Linked DNA regions of Anolis sagrei. The protein of the gene in region 1 binds, or shares a complex with, the protein of each later gene. Links are inferred from orthologs where the notes say so. Each region holds a gene or a part of one and is shown on either strand. Other genes may lie near its edges. The genes, in order: ESPL1 and PTTG1.

Region 1 (9,225 bases):
AGGCAGGCAGGCCGGCTGGCCGGCCAGCTGCACATACACACTGCTGTCGCCGCGGCGGTTTCTATGAGTTCAACTGGCTCCGTAGAATTCCTGTCAGGATTCTGGCTCGGTTTCAAAACATGGCTGTCAAGGATGATGTCATGTGTTCACGAGACACTAATTCCCTCCCCCACACTAATTATGAAGTTGAGGGGAAACTGCTGTTGTCTGTGGCAAATAACATAGCATCTTAAATAAGAGCCGAGAATGTCTAGATAGATAGATAGATAGATAGATAGATAGATAGATAGATCCCTATATGTGTGTGTGTGTATGTATACATACACACACAAACACACACACAATAGATAGATAGATAGCCCCCTCCCTGCTGTCTGTCCTGCGGCAGGCTAAAATCTTTTTATTCAGACAGGCTTTTAAAAAAGGTTTTTAAAGATCAATTTAAGGGATGCTGTGGTTTTTAACTTTGAATATGTTTTAATGGTTTAGCTATGATTTTAATTTTTTTAATGTTTGTATATTTGTATATTTTAAATAGTATGTGAATACTTTTATATCAAGTTGCTTTGAATCCCCTTTGGAGAGATAAAGCAGGGCATAAATAAATATAATAATTATTATAATTGATAGGGGATATATATGGAAATACATATATACACTACAGATAGATAGAGGAGATATATGAACATATATATATATGCAAACATTACAGATAGATAGAGGATACACACACACACACACACACTATATGTGTTTATTTATGTCCATATATATTATAGGTACACATATTATAGGTAGATAGATGGATAGATAGACTACACATAGAGTATATATATGCAAACCACATACACATATTAACCGCTTTGAGTCCCCCCAGGGGTGAGAAAGGGGGTATATAAATATTGTAAATATATATATACACACACACTACAGTTAGAGGATATATATGTGTGTGTGTGTATGCATATATGTATACACACACACTACAGATAGATAAAGGATATATATATATATATATATATATATATATATATATATATATATGATACACACACAATACAGATAGAGATGATATATGGATAATCACACTACAGATAGATAGATGATATTTATACTACAGAGAGAGGATACACACATACACAAATATCCTCTATCTATCTATTTATCTATCTATCTATCTATCTATCTATCAGTAGTATGTGTGTATATATATAAATCTATATATATCCTCTATCTGTAATATTCCATATATCACATACGATAGAATATATATATATATATATATATATATATATATATATTCTATCTCCATACAGATAGAGGAGATACACACACACATGCACACACTACAGATAAAGGATATCACTAAATGTATGTTTGTATGTATGTATGTATGTATGTAGTGTAGGAGAAAGTTGCTTCTTTTGTTCCTCTTCAACAGACACGTCTTTCAGTCAATACAAGGGCACTTTTCTACACTACATATCTATGCAGCTCATAATTGTGGAGGTTTTTTTAAAAGAGAGAGGACAACCTCTTTCTCCAATGTAGACACGCTGTAAGCGGATCCCAAGGGTACAGAAGAGAAACTCTAAGTGACAATGTACCGCAATCCTTCACCCCAAAATGATCATTTAAAGTGTGACCCATCACTGTGAGGAAGGGTGCGTCTGCACTGTGGAACGAAGGCACTTTCAACACTGCCTTTGAACTGCTGTGGCTCAATGCTGTGGAATCCTGGGAGGTTGTATGTAGCTTGCAACTCCTAGAACGATTCCATCAGCGCTGCTTCCAGAAAATCCTGCAAATCTCTTGGGAAGACAAGCGGACAAATGTCAGTGTGCTGGAAGAAGCAAAGACCACCATCAATGAAGCGATGGTCCTCCACCATCAACTTCGCTGAACCGGCCACGTTGTCCGGATGCCTGACCACCGTCTCCCAAAGCAGTTCTCTACTCCGAACTCAAGAATGGGAAACATAATGTTGGTTGACAGGAAAAGAGATTTAAAGATGCATTGTCGAAGACTTTCATGGCCAGAATCACTAGGTTGTTTTAGGGTTTTTTGGGCTATATGGCCATATTCTAGAGGCATTCTCTCTGACGTTTCGCCTGCAACTACAGCAAGCATCCTTAGAGGTAGTGACCTCATTACCTCTGAGGATACTTACCATAGATGCAGGTGAAACATCAGGAGAGAACGCCTCTAGAACAGGGGTCCACAAACTTTTTAAACAGAGGGCCAGGTCACAGTACCTCAAACTGTTGGAGTGCCAGAATATAATTTGGAAAAAACAGGAATGAATTCCTCTGCACACTGCACATATCTTATTTTTAGTGCAAAAAGAAGAGAAAAAAAACCACTTTAAAACAATACAATAATTAACATGAAGAACAATTTTAATAAATATAAGCTTATTAGTATTTCAATGGGAAGTGTGGGCCTGCTTTTGGCTGATGAGATAGGATTGTTGTTGTTGTGTGCTTTCAAGTCGTTTCAGACTTGGGTTGACCCTGAGCGAGGGCCGGGTAAATGACCTTGGAGGGCCGCATCCTGCCCCCAGGCCTTAGTTTGAGGACCCCTGATATAGATAATAAACAATAACTGCATTTCTTAATGGTAAATAATTGGGTCTGAGCTACTCTAACACCCATTTCTTCTAAGGTTTCAAAGAGGGAAAAACACCAATCAACTGCATCTCTTTGACACACATGCAGAGAGAGATCTTAAAGCACACAGCACATACTCTAATATGAAAGAAACTAAAGATGAAAAGAAATGTGGGCCTGCTTTTGGCTGATGAGATAGAATTGTTGTTGTTGTGTGCTTTCAAGTCGTTTCAGACTTAGGTTGACCCTGAGCGAGGGCTGGACAAATGACCTTGGAAAGGCTGTATCCGGCCCCTAGTTTGAGGACCCCTGCTCTAGAACATGGCCATATAGCCCGAAAAAACCTACAACAACCCAGATTTAAAGATGGGCACAAGCCAACCTTAAAACTCTGACATAGACACTGAGAACTGGGAAGCCCTGGAGGTCAGCTGTGACCAGCAGTGCTGCAGAATTTGAAGAGGCGCGAATGAAGGGCGAAAGAGATAAACATGCCAAGAGGAAGGTGTGTCAAACCAACCTTCTACCTGCAAACCGATGCCCTCACTGCGGGAGAAGATGCAGATCAAGAATAGGGCTCCATAGTCACTTACGTACCCACTACACTTGGAGGTCCATGATGCTGTCAAGGTGATGCATGCCATATGCCAGCAAATATGGAAAACACAAGAATGGCCATCAGATTGGAAAAAATCAACTTATATAACCATACCAAAAAAGGGAAATGCGAAAGACTGCTCAAACTTCTGTACAGTGGCCCTTATTTTTCATGCCAGTAAGGTAATGCTCAAGATCTTGCAAGGAAGACTCCAGCAATACAGGGAGCGAGAGTTGCCAGATGTTCAAGCTGGGTTTAGAAAAGGCAGAGGAACAAGAGACCAGATTGCCAATATCCGCTGGATAATGGAGAAAGGCAGGGAGTTTCAGAAAAACATCTATTTCTGTTTCATTGACTATTCTAAAGCCTTTGACTGTGTGGATCATAACAAATTGTGGCAAGTTCTTGGTGGGATGGGCATACCAAGCCACCTTGTCTCTTTCCTGAGGAATCTGTACAAGGACCAAGTAGCAACAGTCAGAACTGACCACGGAACAACAGACTGGTTCAAGATTGGGAAAGGTGTACGGCAGGGTTGTATACTCTCACCCAACCTATTCAACTTGTATGCAGAACACATCATGCGATGTGCAGGGCTTGATGAATGCAAGGTTGGGATGAAAATTGCTGGAAGAAACATTAACAACCTCAGATATGCAGATGACACCACTCTGATGGCCAAAAGCGAGGAGGAGCTGAGCGAAGGAAGATTGATGCTTTTGAGCTGTGGTGTTGGAGGAAAGTGCTGAGAGTGCCTTGGACTGCGAGAAGATCCAACCAGTCCATCCTCCAGGAAATAAAGCCCGACTGCTCACTGGAGGGAAGGATACTAGAGTTGAAGTACTTTGGCCACATCATGAGGAGACAGGAAAGCCTGGAGAAGACAATTATGCTGGGGAAAGTGGAAGGCAAAAGGAAGAGGGGCCGATGGCATCCTTGAAGTGACTGGATAGACCTTGAAGGAGCTGGGGGTGGTGACGGCCGACAGGGAGCTCTGGCGTGGGCTGGTTCGTGAGGTCACGAAGAGTCGGAAGCGACTGAACGAATGAACAACAACACACTTGGAGGACCTTCAACCTCAGACTACGAGGGATCGCCTAAGTAAGTAAGTAAGTAAGTAAGTAAGTAAGTAGCTTCTAAAAGGGCTGCCAACTAACAGCTCCCAGGACTCCACAGCATTGAACCGAATGGTGACAGCCCAAGTGCCATTCATTCCTTCACTCATTCTGCACGCTGTGACTCCAGAAAGTGTTTACAGTGAGATTTCCCAGAGTGCAATGGGCGGAGGCGGGGCGCGGGGGCGGGGCGCGGGGGCGGGCGCTGATTGGCCCTCGGCGAGGATTTGAACAGGGCGCGGGGCCGGCTCGGGCCCTGGTTTCCAGTGTGGTGGTGACTTGCCAGTTGGGCGGAAAGGCTTCCTTCCAGCGGGTACGTAAGGACTGGGGTAAGCCCTGGCTTTGAGTTGGACTGGGGGAGTTGTAGTTTCGCAGAGAAGGCTACAAACACTGTAAAACTACAAGTCACAGGATTCAGTCGCACTCAGCCATGATGGTTAAAATGGTGTCAAGCTACAGTGTACATCAGGCCTGGGCAAAGTTGGGCCCTCTGGGAGTTTTGGACTTCAACGCCCACAATTCCTAACAGCCTCAGGCCCCTTCCTTTTCCCCCTCTGGCACTTAAGCGGCTGAGGGGGGAAAGGAAAGGGCCTGAGGCTGTGAGGAATTATGGGAGTTGAAGTCCAAAACTCCCAGAGGGCCCAACTTTGCCCTTGCCTAGTGTAGTACAGTTATATTTGTTTATTTATTTAAATAAGTAATAATTTTTAATTTAAGTAATAATTTGTTTTAATTAAATAAAAAGGGCCAGCAAATTGAAGTTTCTAAAGCATTTAAAAATTATGCTGATTTTATAGGAAGCTAAGGCCCCTTCTGTACAGCTGTATAAAATCCACACAGAACTGGAATATACAGCAGTGTGGACTCAGATAACCAAGTTCAAAGCAGATATTGTGGATTATCTTCATCTTGTCTCCTGTGCTATTCTAATAATATAATATATTGTATAGCCCCTGGTGGCGCAGTGGGTTAAAGCACTGAGCTGCTGAGCTTGTTGATCGAAAGGTCACAGGTTCGATTCCGGGGAGCGGCGTAAGCTTCCGCTGTCAGCCCTAGCTTCTGCCAACCTAGCAGTTCGAAAACATGCAAATGTGAGTAGATCAATAGGTACCGCTCCGGTGGGAAGGTAACGGCGTTCCATGCAGTCATGCCGGCCACATGACCTTGGAGGTGTCTACGGACAACGCAGGCTCTTCGGCTTAGAAATAGAGATGAGCACCACACCCCAGAGTCAGACATGACTGGACTTAATGTCAGGGGAAAACCTTTTTATATATATACATATAATTATAATATTATAATGTAATGCAATATAATAATAATATATTATAATTATATACTTATATTACATGTGGTATTACTAATAATGTTGCAGTATAATTGTTATAGTAAAATATAGCAATATTTAAAACTAATATAATATATTGTATAAAATCCACATAGAACTGGACTATACAGCAGTGTGGACTCAGATAACCAAGTTCAAAGCAGATATTGCGGAATATCTCCACCTTTTTCCACCTTGTCTCCTGTGCTATTCTAATAATATAATATATTGTATATACATATAATTATAATATTATAATGTAATGCAATATAATAATATGATATTATAGTTATATATTTATATTACATGTGGTATTACTAATAATGTTGCAGTATAATAAAAATAATGATGATGATAATAATAATAATAATAATAATAATAATTTAAAAAACTTCATTTATATACCGCTCTATCTCCCCAAGGGGACTCAGAGCGGTTCCCAGGTAAAAATCACAACATATAAAGTAAAAACCATAAGATTAACAAAACAAAATCTGCATAAAATTTTGTATAATTGGTATAGTACAATATAGCAATATTTAAAACTAATAATATAATATATTGTATAAAATCCACATAGAACTGGACTATACAGCAGCGTGGACTCAGATAACCAAGTTCAAAGCAAATATTGTGGATTATCTTCACCTTGTTCCACCTTGTCTCCTGTGCTATTCTCATAATATAATATATTGTATATACATATAATATTTATAATATTATAATGTAAATACAATTATACATTATAATGTAATGTATAATATATAATATTATAATGTATAATACTACTAATATATAATAATATTATATTATAATTATATATTTATATTACATGTGGTATTACTAATAATGTTGCCGTATAATTGGCATAGTACAATATAGAAATATTTAAAACTAATAATATAATATATTGTATGTAAGCCGCTCTGAGACCCCTTCAGGGTGAGAAGGGCAGCATATAAATGTCGTAAATAAATTATCTGCCTTAATATTCTGGGATATATGCCTGTGTGGAAGGGCCCTAAATCCAACATTTTTGGTGTGCCCACCTTCCTGACTTGTTTTGTTGTAAGATGTGACTGAATAAAATTGGTATATGTCTGCCTTCACATTATCTCATAGAGTCCCTGTAAGTCAACAGATAACAGATACCTATATGATGCTGCACAAGGAAAGAGAACAGGTCCCATGGGACGCGTAGTATAAAAAACAACATGAAATTGACAGTGAAGAAAGGCGTGACTAGAGCCTTTGGTCTTCTGGGTGTTTTGGACTTCAGCTCTTAGAATTCCTGACCACTGGAGTGGCTGGACAGGGCTTCTGAGAGATAGAGTCCCAAACACCTGGAGGATCAAAGGTTGGACACTACTGAACTAGAGGAAGTGTTCTGTGTGTACACTTGGGGTTTTTTTTTTTTTTGGTAGAAGAATGGTGCAAACTGAGACAGGAAGGATGAATTTGGGCTTGAGCCTCTTTGCCATAATATTACATGGTAGTTAAGTGGGATTAAGTTTATGATGTGTTCTCATATTTTGAAGACTTGGCTCAGAATACCTCAGCCCGCTATTTGCATAGCATGGAATCATTCTTCTTTTGGACTTGTCATCTAAAGTGTCCTCTCATTTGGATAGGCAGGCGGGAAAGCTTTGACAATCTGAGATGAGAAGTCTTGCAAAAACAATTCCAGGGATTTAACAGTATGGTCTGTTGGAAGTTAACTTTAATTTAACTATCATCAAGTTAGTTGAAGATAATTTGAAAGCCAAGACTTCCTGGCTTTCAAGTTGCTCTCAGCACTTGATGTGAGATACCTGTCTCAGCGCTATGTATGGTTAATCAGTTATATGTCTTTTTCTGTAGGATGCAAAATGGAGCACCTTAAAGGTGCAGATTTTGTGGCACAGACCAGTACTCCTGAAGAATCTCTGGCTTTGTTGTCAGAGTTGAAGGTAAGCCTCCAAGATGAGTTGATACCCTCCAGTCTGGGTGGTTCTGGAAAATGGCCTTTTAATGGATATTAGCAGTGATAGGAGAACACGGTACCTGTAGTCCTAGAGGCAAATTGCCTCTGAGAAAAGGCAGTGGCTCTTCTCCTTGGTAACATGGAGAATGGTAGCTGCCTCCATACCTAGGCTAGTCTAGATCAGTAGTTCCCAAACTGTTTTGGTCATGGAACCCTTCAGAAGACACCCCCTCCCCCCTGTGGAATTCTCAGGATTGTGAATGCACAATTTTTTCTTTCCGTCACCTCCTATTGCCTGGCTGTTATTGTATGTTTGAAAATAAAGAGATTAAATTTTTTTTTAAGCAGAAGTTCATTGGATTTCAATACGATCTGAATACTCTGGTATGGACTTAAAAAATTAAATATGTTTTTTAGAGGAACCTCTATGTTTTCATTGAATTTTAGGGTTTTGTGGAACAATTTGTGAATCACTGGTCTAGATAGCAAGGACAAACAATGTGGCATGCAGTACTCTGCCCTCTGTTAACAAGGAACAGCTGGAAAGCTCGGAAGTTCCGTTGGAGCTGTCACCTGACATCTGCTGCCCAAGGCAGCTGGTTTGTCTGTCTAACTGCAAAGGTGGCCCTGCTTAAAATGAATGCTTGGTATATCCTGAGGGTCGGAAGTGGGGATCCTATGCTTCCTTCATGCTGTTGATTTATAGTTGCCATGTCACTAATGTTTGGCCATGCTGATTGAAATTGGGATGTACTATCAGCTGGGTGGGAAAATATTCTGTCCAAAGAAACTGGGTTTTTTGGGTGGAGGGGCAACACACAGCAGATGATTCAAGGTTTGACAGGTTTTTTTTTAAATGACAGGTAACATTTACACATGTTAAAATACAGTCAATACTTGGAGCAAATTCCACCTGTCCCCATTCAGCTGTTGAGAGCCTGGAGAAGATACAGCGGAGGAACCCAGATTTGTGTTAATGCACAGCCTCTTGCTGGCTCTTCTGGTTTGTGTCAAGCTCTCTCAGGCACTGGGTTGTTGTAGGTTTTCGACAATACTCTCTCAGGCAGTTCGTCAAGGCTTTTAATAAGCAAAGCGCTCCTGGACTTCATGCATTTTCTCACACCTGTTCCCCGATTGACATGCACTTCTAATTAATTACACTTGTATCTGATATGTGCATCTAGACAAACTAGTAATAGTTTTCTGATAACTAATTGTTAGTTATTCTCCAAGATTTTGCAATAAATGAATGTAGAACTTGTGCAATGACAATTGGAATGGCCATGGATTATGACTTTAATTATGTGATTTTAATCATTGATGTAATTGTTTTTTTTGGTGTTTTAATTTTCTGGTTTTTAATGTAGATATTTACCAATTGTATGTTATTTAAGGCATTGAATAGTTGCTGATATGTAAGGCTGCTCTGATTCCCCCTCGGGGTTCAGAAGGACGAGGTACAAATATGGTAAATAAATAATAAAGAAATAATAGTATTTACATCTAAAAGACTGGGGATTAATTTAAACAGAAGTTAGTGTTGACTGCTTTCTACATTCTGATGCCAGACATACACATATTAATAATAAACATAGTCAAAAGCCCAGGTTATA
Region 2 (9,225 bases), about 76 Mb from region 1:
ATAAACAAATGAATAGAGGTTAAGAATGGTTAAAATGCCTTATACAATAGCATAAGGCATAGCACTTACCTTTCCAATAAGATTTATTGCTGTTATTGAAATAAATGAACTTCCTTCTATCTAGGTAAACTACTAAGCATTTGAGTTTATGTTGGTATTTTGTCATTTGAGAAGGTTGTTAATAGGGCTGGGCGGTTTCGTTTTGTTAATTCGTAATTCGTTAAAAATTCGTTATTTTTTTTTAAGTAACGAAGCGATAACGAACCATTCTGGAGCAACTTAAAAACGAAACGAATTTTTAAATTCGTTTCGTAATTGTTTCTAATTCGTTTTGTATTCGTTTCATTATCGTTTTGAAGTCGTTTCGTTATTATTTCCGCATGTCTGGGGCAGGTTTTATAGTTGTTTTTTGTTTAATTAGTGAAAAAAAATTATAATATCACACCAACAGTCAACAACAGAGGGAGAGGGAAGCTTCAGAAGTTCCCCCCTGTCCCATTTGGAGGTTTTTTAGCGTATTTCGCGGTCGCATCCGCCATTAACGAATCAATTCGTTATTGTTTCGTAATTTTTTTAACATTTACGAAATTTCGTAAATATCGAACTTTTTAAAAGAAAAATTTCGGAATTCTTTTTAAAATCGAAACGCAAAAACCCCCAAAAAACGAATCGATTTTAGAAACAAATTTTTCCGTTGTTACCCAGGCCTAGTTGTTAACACTTCTAATGGGTTTCTTACTTTTGTGTTGGCATTGCAATTAAAATAATAATAATATTATTCTCTGTGATAATAGTTTCACAATCACCTCCACGATGTTTTAATTTTCCCTCATCTATTTGAACTAACTAGCATTTATTTGTTCTAAACAACAACTGAAGAACTTTCTTTAAGTACTGGCCAATGTGGCATTTGAAACTGTTTTTAATCGAGAAGAACAACATCTTGAGAACTGTATTATATGTTTACTATACATTTCCAACTGCAAGGAACTGAAGCACCAGGGATGGAAAGACCTGTTTTACAGTTCTGCTAGTTACATAAGCTTATTTAGTATCTAAGCTACTATGCTTGGTTAAGTCATGTGAACCTATGTGAAACACTTTTATATGCTCCTATAGTAGATATTCTGCAGACATGACACAGAATATAATAGTACAATTTTTAAAACAATAGCAACAACCATAATTGATGTTCTGAACAGTCAAGTTTTTGAAAGATGTAAAAGAAACTATAGGTCAGGATTAATTTAAGCGTAAAAGCTTTGTAATTAAAAAAAATATTACTATCTGTTTAAAAAAAAGATTATGATTAAAGAAATCTACACTGTAAAACAAATTGTAGCATATTTAGTATGCTTATGACTGCCCACATTTGCATATGTTTACCTGCTGCTTATGGTTTTCTTTCCAGCAATTCCTCCTAGCTAGTTTAGGGAAGAATGCTCTATATAGAGTAATGCTTCTCAACCTGTGGGTCCTCAAGTGTTTTGGCCTACAACTCCCAGAAATCCCAGCCAGTTGACCAGCTGTTAGGATTTTTGGGAGTTGAAAGCCAAAACATCTGGGGATCCACAGGTTGAGAACCACTACTAGAGCATTAACTAGCCCTTTTGACAGCTATTGAAGGAGACTGTGGTAAGAAACAGAGCCGAGACGTTCATAATTACACTTGTGATACTTTCTAAAAATTCCTTTATAAATAGATGTTTGAGACACTAAGTACATATGCTGCTTAAAAACTCAACTATCCTGTCCCTGGGTATATCTACACTATAGAATTAATGCAGTTTTGATACCATAAATCAATATAAATCAACCTAAAGGCACACACATATCCACATTTAGGTTTTTCCACTATGTTTTGAGGTCTTTCAGAATCAATGGCAGGTGATAAAAAGCTATAAATTAAGGAAGACTCTTGGTCAGGAATAGGTTTTCTTCTAGAATTCTAAACAGTTAAGAGTGTAGACATTACTATGTTGCTTTCCCATTCAAGTCCTAATTGGGGCTGGAGTTCTTCCTTAACTTCCAAGACCAGATGGGATTTGGCACTTTTAGGACATCTGGACAGTATACGTATTGACAAATAAAACACACAAATATAAAGGAACTAAATACCAAAGCAAGGTATACCTACTGTGGTTTCATGGAGAGCATTCTGTTTCTGATCCCTGCTGCAAACAATATGGCACTCCCATCCGGTGTTGCAGCAGATGGTTCTAACTTTACATGACTATAGGGAAGGCCACTTCTGTACTGTAGAAATAATGCAGTTTGAGACCACTTTAATTGCCATGGCTATGGGATCCTGGGGTTTTGTTGCTTGGTGAGGCAACAGCCTTGCTTTTAACTGTATTTTATGTTGTTTGGGAGCATTGACTGCCGATTGTAAACCGCCTCGAGTCGCCTCTGGGTTGAGAGGGGCGGTATACAAATATGGTAAATAAATAGTGGAAACATATGGCAACACAGGATGTATTTACACTGTAGGATTGGTATTATTACACCAAATTCACTGAGATCTGTAGTTTGACAACGTCTTTGGCTTTCTCTGTCACAGAGTGCAGAAGCCTTACAAAACAACAGCTCCCAGGATTCCATACCACTGCGCCATGGCAGTTAAAGTGGTGTCAAACTGCATCAATTCTACAGTACAGCTGGAGACCAATTCCAATCCCTATTCAACCCTAGAAATCCACCGAGTGGACTCGGAGCAGTCACACTCTCTCAGCCTCAGAGGAAGGCAAAGTCAAGCCCCTTCTGATGAACTCCTGCCAAGAAATCCTGTGGCAGTTTCGCTTTAAAGTCGCCATAAATCAGAACTGACTTGACAACAACAAGAGCGAGGGATTACGTCCGTTGTGTAAACAAGTGTAATTGAAAGGTAGTTTGAAGGAGGAGTTGAGATCCCAGGAGAAGACACACCACAACACATACAAAAACAGTCTCCGCTTCCGGAAACACCAGGAAAAGCCCCTCAGACTCACCCAAAAGTCGAAGGCATTCACTCCTTCAGCTTTACTGAGGCTACGACACTAAGTAGGCCTCACTTCCGTTTCCCATAATGCAGCGCGCGGCCCTATTCGCCCCTCCTACTTTTTTTTCTTAAAGGGATAGAGCTTAATTCACCTCCGAAGCAAGGGATCCTTCCCAATCAGCTTCGGCTGCCCAGCGTTCATTCTGGGTGACTGCAGAGAGTGAATGGCTGCTTGAAAAAAAAAAAAAAAGGATTGGGTTTAAGAACCTGCAGAGCCATAGCTAGAGCACTACTATGGAAACAGACCAATGGAATCATGGGATTTATAGTTTAGCGAAGGACATTAAGAACTCCCAGTTAGAGAGCTCTTGGGCCTCGCTGAACTACAAGCCCAGAATGGGAGGTGACAGGTAGAGCGCTGGGCTCTTCCTTTTGGGCAGCTGGGTCATTGGAGAGATTTCTCAGCCTTTTGCAGAGAAGGGAAATCATATCTCCCTTTCAGGGCAGCCCTGAGCCTCCTTCCACACAGTTGTATAACATCCATAATGAACCGGATTATATGGCAGTGTGGACTCAGATATCCCAGTTCAAAACAGATATTGTGGATTACTCGCCTTGATATTTTGGGTTTTATGGCTATGTGGAAGGGCCCTGAGGCATAACTCCCTTAGGCCCCTTCTACACTGCCATATAATATCCAATTTATTTTATTTGAACTGGATTATATGGCAGTGTAGACTCATATAATCCAGTTCAAAGCAGATGTGTAATATCTTTGATTATCTGGATTGTATGGCAGGGCCTTAGGGCCCTTTCAGTGTCCTTATGTACCAGCTGTGTTTTTGACTGCAATTCCCAGCATTCCTCAAACTGCCCTTGGTCACGCTTGGCTTGGGGATTCTGGGACCTGCAATCCAAAAAGGCCACTTCTGTGCTGTAGAAATAATGCAGTTTGGGACCACTTTAACTGCCATGGCTATGGGATCCTGGGGTTTTGTGGCTTGGTGAGGCAACAGCCTTGGGCAGAGAAGGTAAAACTACAACGCCCAGGATCGCATAGCATTGAGCCCTGGCAGTTAAAGCTGTATCAATGCGGCACTAATTCTGCAATGTAGATGCACCCAAAATTAACTTTTCAAAGCGGCACTGTAGGGTGCTCTCTCTGGATTGCAGCACAGGCCAGCATCTGCTAAGGTGCATCTACATTGTAGGGTGAATGCAGTTTGACACCACTATGACCGCCATGGCGCAATGCTATGGAACCAGGGGAGATGTAGTTTTCCAGGGCCCTTAGCCTTCTCTGCCAAGGAGTGCCTTGCCAAAGTACGACTCCCATGACTCCATAGCATTGAGCCACAGCGCTTAAAGGGATCTCAAACGGTGTGAATTCCTGAGTCCTGCAACTAACACCTACAGTATTTTCCGAGGTTTACTCCCGACTGCGCAAACTCCGCTCGCGCCCTTCTTCTCTGCTGCTGTTGGTTTAGCAAAACAGCCAATCAGGATTGCTGGCGTCCTGCGAGGATGGGAACCAACCAATGACGTACGACGTTAACGATTTTAAAAACAGTTCCCTGTTAGACTGAACTCTATGAACTCACTTTGAAGGCACGGTGGGTTGGGTTGGGATTCATAAGTGGGGTTTGCAGGTGTTTTTCTCTTCATTTTTAATGGAATGCTGCTTAATGCTTTGAGATTCAGGACTGCACCTTTATTTTGTATAATATTATAAGCATAATTAAAAATAAGATATAATTAATAATGTACCAGGAACAAGGATAAACATTTATGGTTTTGTGTTTTTGCTTTAATTCCTAGTTGTTTCCTGTTGGTCGAAGCTTCCTTCCAAAAGATCTCAACCAGGATAGACTGGTGTTATTTGGCTGTGTTACTGCAGTTGGTTGCTTTCCAGAGAGTGTAGTTTGAGTGAGTAGCTCCAGACAGGAGAAACTGTGTCAAATAAGCCAAAAGTGTCGGCATGCATGTTGTTGGCTTTAGTAAAAAAGTAACTTTTTTTAAAAAAATCTTGTGACTGTTGAAACCACTGGTTCATGGAAAGTATTCAAATAAGTTAAAACAACAAACCTTTGAACATCGTACCTTTTCAAGACTTTTCTGCTTTGTTTTTTTAATCGCTTTTGAAAAAAAATTGTTCTGTTTGCAAATGTACTTTTATTAAGTACTAGCCATCCCCTGCCACACCTTGCTGTGGCCCAGTCTGTGTATATGTGTTTTGTGTGTGTATGTATGTGTATATATGTGGTTATGCAAATGCGTTGTAATGTATTTTTTATTTTCTGGCTTTTTAAGCCCCTTCTGCTGTGTTTTTCAGTGTTTTTATGAGTGATGGTCACTCGTTGGCCTGATAGGTGTATTGTGTCCACATTTGGTGTCAATTTGAGTTATGTTAATCCCACAAACGAACATTCCATTTTTATTTATATAGAGTTCAAATTTTAATTAAATATTTAAATACCACACTGATGAACTTGTGAGCTTTTATTTTTCTGATGCAAGTGACTAGAGCAGGTATGGGGAAAGTTCGGCCCTCCAGGTGTTTTGGACTTCAACTCCCACAATGTATAACAGCCGGTTGGAATTCCTAACCAGCGGTTAGTAATTGTGGGAGTTAAAGTACAAAACACCTGGAGGGCCAAACTTTGCCCATGCCTGGATTAGAGAGCAGTGAATGTTTTTAAAATTCCTTATATAAAATACTGTAGTGTTTGTCCCAGCTCAGTAGAAGGAAGCTTCACAAGTCTTAAACAGTGTGTCAAACTAATAATGTTTGTTTTCACTCCAAGAAGCTTGACTGGGTGTTCTTGAGAGAACATGTTTCCTGTTGTATTTTTGGGGCATTATTACATGAGCAATATAGGATCTGCTACTGCAGCTGTGGTGTCTATTTTAGGACCATCTGATGCAAAAGGAATGGCAACGCGCATATACATAGACAAAGAAAATGGTGATGCTGGCATTGTTACTGCCTCTAAGGATCGACTCAGAACCCTACCAGCACCTTGTGAGTATGCATTAATTCAAATGTAAAGCCGATATAAAAGAACTAATATGCCCCTTTGCTTGAAAGTACTAGTGACTTTAATGAGCGAGTTCTTACTCACCCTGTGGTTACTCTCATTCTTTATCGTAGTCAGCTATGCATTTATTTTTCTCATCTTGTACATAATTGCTAATCTCTGGGCACATTTCATAAGCAGCCACATTACTGAATTGTAGTGAGGGTTTGATCAGTTGTTGAATATGTTCCTTTTGGGGAACCCTGTGTGTAGTATCTTGAGTTCCTTGATGGAATATAAACATATGTTTTAAGAAGATACTTGAAAAGGAGTTAGTGAAGCTTTTATGTAAAGAGTAGCAATGAGCAGAAGACAATGTTTTAGAAAGAAAACTTTGAACAAGCAAAGGAAGAAAAAAATGGATAGAAGGGACACATACTATTAATTGGTTGCCTTTCAATGAGGAAGCTTCCAGTAGTACTTCACACTTAGAACTTTCTCCCTTGCAAGTCATAACACCTGAGCAGAGTTGGAAGATTTCTTCCTCCACTAGGCTTTCACCTGGTCAGGTTATGAGGTCTAAAGTGCTTGTATTAATTGCTCTAGAGCACTGCTCCTTAAACCGTGGGCCCTTATCCTAAATAGTCCTGAAAAATTTGGCAACAGTCAAAGGTTTCTGAATATTACTTATGACCTCATCAGGCAGGGTTTTTTACCTGTCCTAGCACGCTGCCGGAGCCCATCATGTGACACAGTGCTACTAGCATCGGGGCTCCGTCCTGGCAACATGCTAAGAGGAAACCAGGGACAGTAGGGAAATGTGGGATGAAAGCCTGTGACCCACCATGGTAAAGGGATGAAGCTGGGAGCTGACACGGGGTCCACCCCCCCCCCCAATCTCTTGACTTTTGGACCTTAGTAGCAGTTTTAGACTTTTATACAAATCAGTTGTGTGTTGTTTACAGTGAACTGCAGAAAATTCTTCAGCTGTTCTTAATAAAAGAAAATCAACTTATTTAGCAATCCTTGGAAATGATTTTTATGCTTATTTTATTTATATATCCGAGGTTATGTAAAAATATCTTAGTCTAAAATGGGTCCTAAGTGGAAATGCTTAAGGAGCTGTGCTCTACAGTAGCATTCTGGAAACTGGATTGTAACACAGTTATCTTCCTTGATGGCAAAATTGATAGTTATAACAATCAGAAACACTATTTTGTTCCTAGGTTATAAATGCCATTTTCTCATTGTTTCTACCATAAAAATCTGAACGAGTTTATTGAACTGCAAAACCTTTGTTTTTGCGGGACATCCTGCAGCACATTTTGCTATAGCTTTTTAATAACTATCTCATAGAGTCTCAACCAATTCCAAATAGTTTGTGGCAAGAAACTCTAGAAAGGAAGTTTCTGGAGTATAACAACTACTTTCAAAGTAAGGACCGCACAGTTAAACAAGAAATAACACTTTCAAACCAGGAGCAGATTTTTTTCCAGATTTTCTTACATGGTGTAATTTGTTCACCTGTCTGATGCCATACTACATATAATCAATGAAAAGATGTTGAAACTGAATCTTAAGCATGCTGGATGCTTTTTTCTTTCTGCAGCAAAGATATTTGGTGAAAAGTCTCACCCTAAGACTCCACTTGTTGGAAGGACAGCAAATGTCAATCTGAAGAATGCGAACTCTCAGTCAGCCAGGAAGGCCCTTGGAAATGTGAATAAGCCTTTGTCAGCAACAAAACTGGTTTCTATGGAAAAGAAGTTACCTGCAAAAAAGGTAACATGTGCTGTAGGGCTTCTTCTCATTTTGAAACAGAACAGTAATGCTAATGCCAAAGCTTGTTTTAGTATAAATTAAAGTGAAAATCTCACAGTAATCTCAACCGCAACATAATAGCCAAGCTGTGTTGTGTATTCAAAGATGTGCCCCAGTCTGTCAGACATACACATGGTGCCTAGTGATTGACCTATTTATTTTGGGAAAAGGGTAAAATAGTTCTAGTAAGTGTTTTATGTGTACTTTATTTCCTTGCAGTGCCTCAATAAAAGATAGTTGGGGATTCTTTATTTTGCATTAAACCCAGGGAAGGGAGACTTGTGGCCCAAATTGCTTTGCTTATCCTGTTAATTGGGAACAATCTGGGAAATGTCATTGTTTTTCTTCAATCATAGGTGAAAATAGGGGATGGAACCTATGCTTATAAAATGGCAATATTAAAACACAAGCTACTGTACAGAAAGAAACAAAAGATTGGTTCTCCTCCCATCACAGCACATCTCTTTCCATTGTGGCAGCTCCAGAAGGAAGCTTTACTTTCCTATAGTCATGGTTTTTCCATTTTCTTGTATCTATGAATGTAGAGAACTGACTGTATAACCCAGCTCTTTTTGCAACTTTTGTAACCACTTCCCCTTATTTTTGCAAGGCTACGAAGAGTACAAATCGAGTTGAAGGCTGCAGCATGATTCCAGAAAACTGTCTAGAAAAGGAGAATTTCTTTCCCTATGATCCTCTAGGTAATAACTTTTAAAACGTATAGCTTCACCTTTCTTGGCAAAATGTGGTGAGAGCTGGTTAATTTACATATATAAAAATACAGATGACAGGATATGGTATTGCTGACCTGACAAAGCTGATGTGATGTGTTAAATTGAATTTTTGTATAGGACAATGTGAAACAGCGATGAAACTTTAGGTATTACTATTGGGTTGGGCTTGTCTGTGTCTTTACTTCAAAATGGAATGGAAATCGGCACTAAACTATTGATATTGTATTTGAACAGACTTTGAAAGTTTTGAAGTTCCTGAGGAGCATAGACTGAGCCACATGTCCCTGACAGGTGCTCCTCTCATGATGTTTGAAAAAGCATCCAACCAATTCACAAGTATAGTCTCTGCACCCATAAGCCAACCTTTGATGTCATGGGACTATGGTAAGTATGGTATTTATCTTTTTTCTTCAAAGTTAAGGCTTGAAATGTTGCACTGAAAAGGTGCAGAATAAGATTGACTTGAGCAAATAGAGCAGAAGCAATTTGATGGCTTCTCAGCAGGAGTTGACAAAATGTGGATGACTAAGTGAATGCATATAATGGGGACTTGAAAGAAAATTGATGTTGGGACTCAAAGCAATCAAAGCCACTAGAATGTAACTAACCTGAAATAGTGACTTGAGTTTTTTTAAAATGTTGTTTCAGATAATCTGTCAGATCCTCTGCAATCAAC

Evidence for each region.
Region 2: the proteins of ESPL1 (region 1) and PTTG1 are in contact, whole or in part, in a cryo-EM structure (PDB 7NJ1), measured with the Homo sapiens proteins. The link is inferred for Anolis sagrei from reciprocal best matches to the Homo sapiens genes ESPL1 and PTTG1. Residues at the interface, in NP_036423.4 of Homo sapiens: His402, Thr405, Val406, Tyr409, Ser461, Asn462, Tyr465, Tyr468, Arg505, Arg508, Glu512, Glu544, Thr547, Phe548, Arg551, Gln590, Lys593, Ala594, Val595, Arg596, Thr599, Gly600, Arg603, Gln634, Cys637, Tyr638, Trp683, Ile686, Glu690, Ile697; in NP_001269311.1 of Homo sapiens: Tyr111, Pro112, Glu113, Ile114, Glu115, Lys116, Phe117, Phe118, Pro119, Phe120, Asn121, Pro122, Leu123, Phe125, Glu126, Ser127, Phe128, Asp129, Leu130, Pro131, Glu132, Glu133, His134, Gln135, Ile136, Ala137, His138, Leu139, Pro140, Leu141.

What each region holds. Positions count from the first base shown.
Region 1 is NC_090022.1:187,107,276-187,116,500, reverse strand, and holds the start of ESPL1 (separin), read left to right. Parts: upstream 1-4,531; 5' UTR 4,532-4,635; intron 4,636-7,509; 5' UTR 7,510-7,517; coding exon 7,518-7,598; intron 7,599-9,225. UniProt on the Homo sapiens protein: Caspase-like protease, which plays a central role in the chromosome segregation by cleaving the SCC1/RAD21 subunit of the cohesin complex at the onset of anaphase. During most of the cell cycle, it is inactivated by different mechanisms.
Region 2 is NC_090022.1:111,397,774-111,406,998, reverse strand, and holds the start of PTTG1 (securin), read left to right. Parts: upstream 1-3,152; 5' UTR 3,153-3,184; intron 3,185-4,487; exon of another isoform or gene 4,488-4,626; intron 4,627-4,660; exon of another isoform or gene 4,661-4,695; intron 4,696-4,795; 5' UTR 4,796-4,903; intron 4,904-5,888; 5' UTR 5,889-5,908; coding exon 5,909-5,999; intron 6,000-7,603; coding exon 7,604-7,776; intron 7,777-8,425; coding exon 8,426-8,516; intron 8,517-8,783; coding exon 8,784-8,933; intron 8,934-9,197; coding exon 9,198-9,225. UniProt on the Homo sapiens protein: Regulatory protein, which plays a central role in chromosome stability, in the p53/TP53 pathway, and DNA repair. Probably acts by blocking the action of key proteins.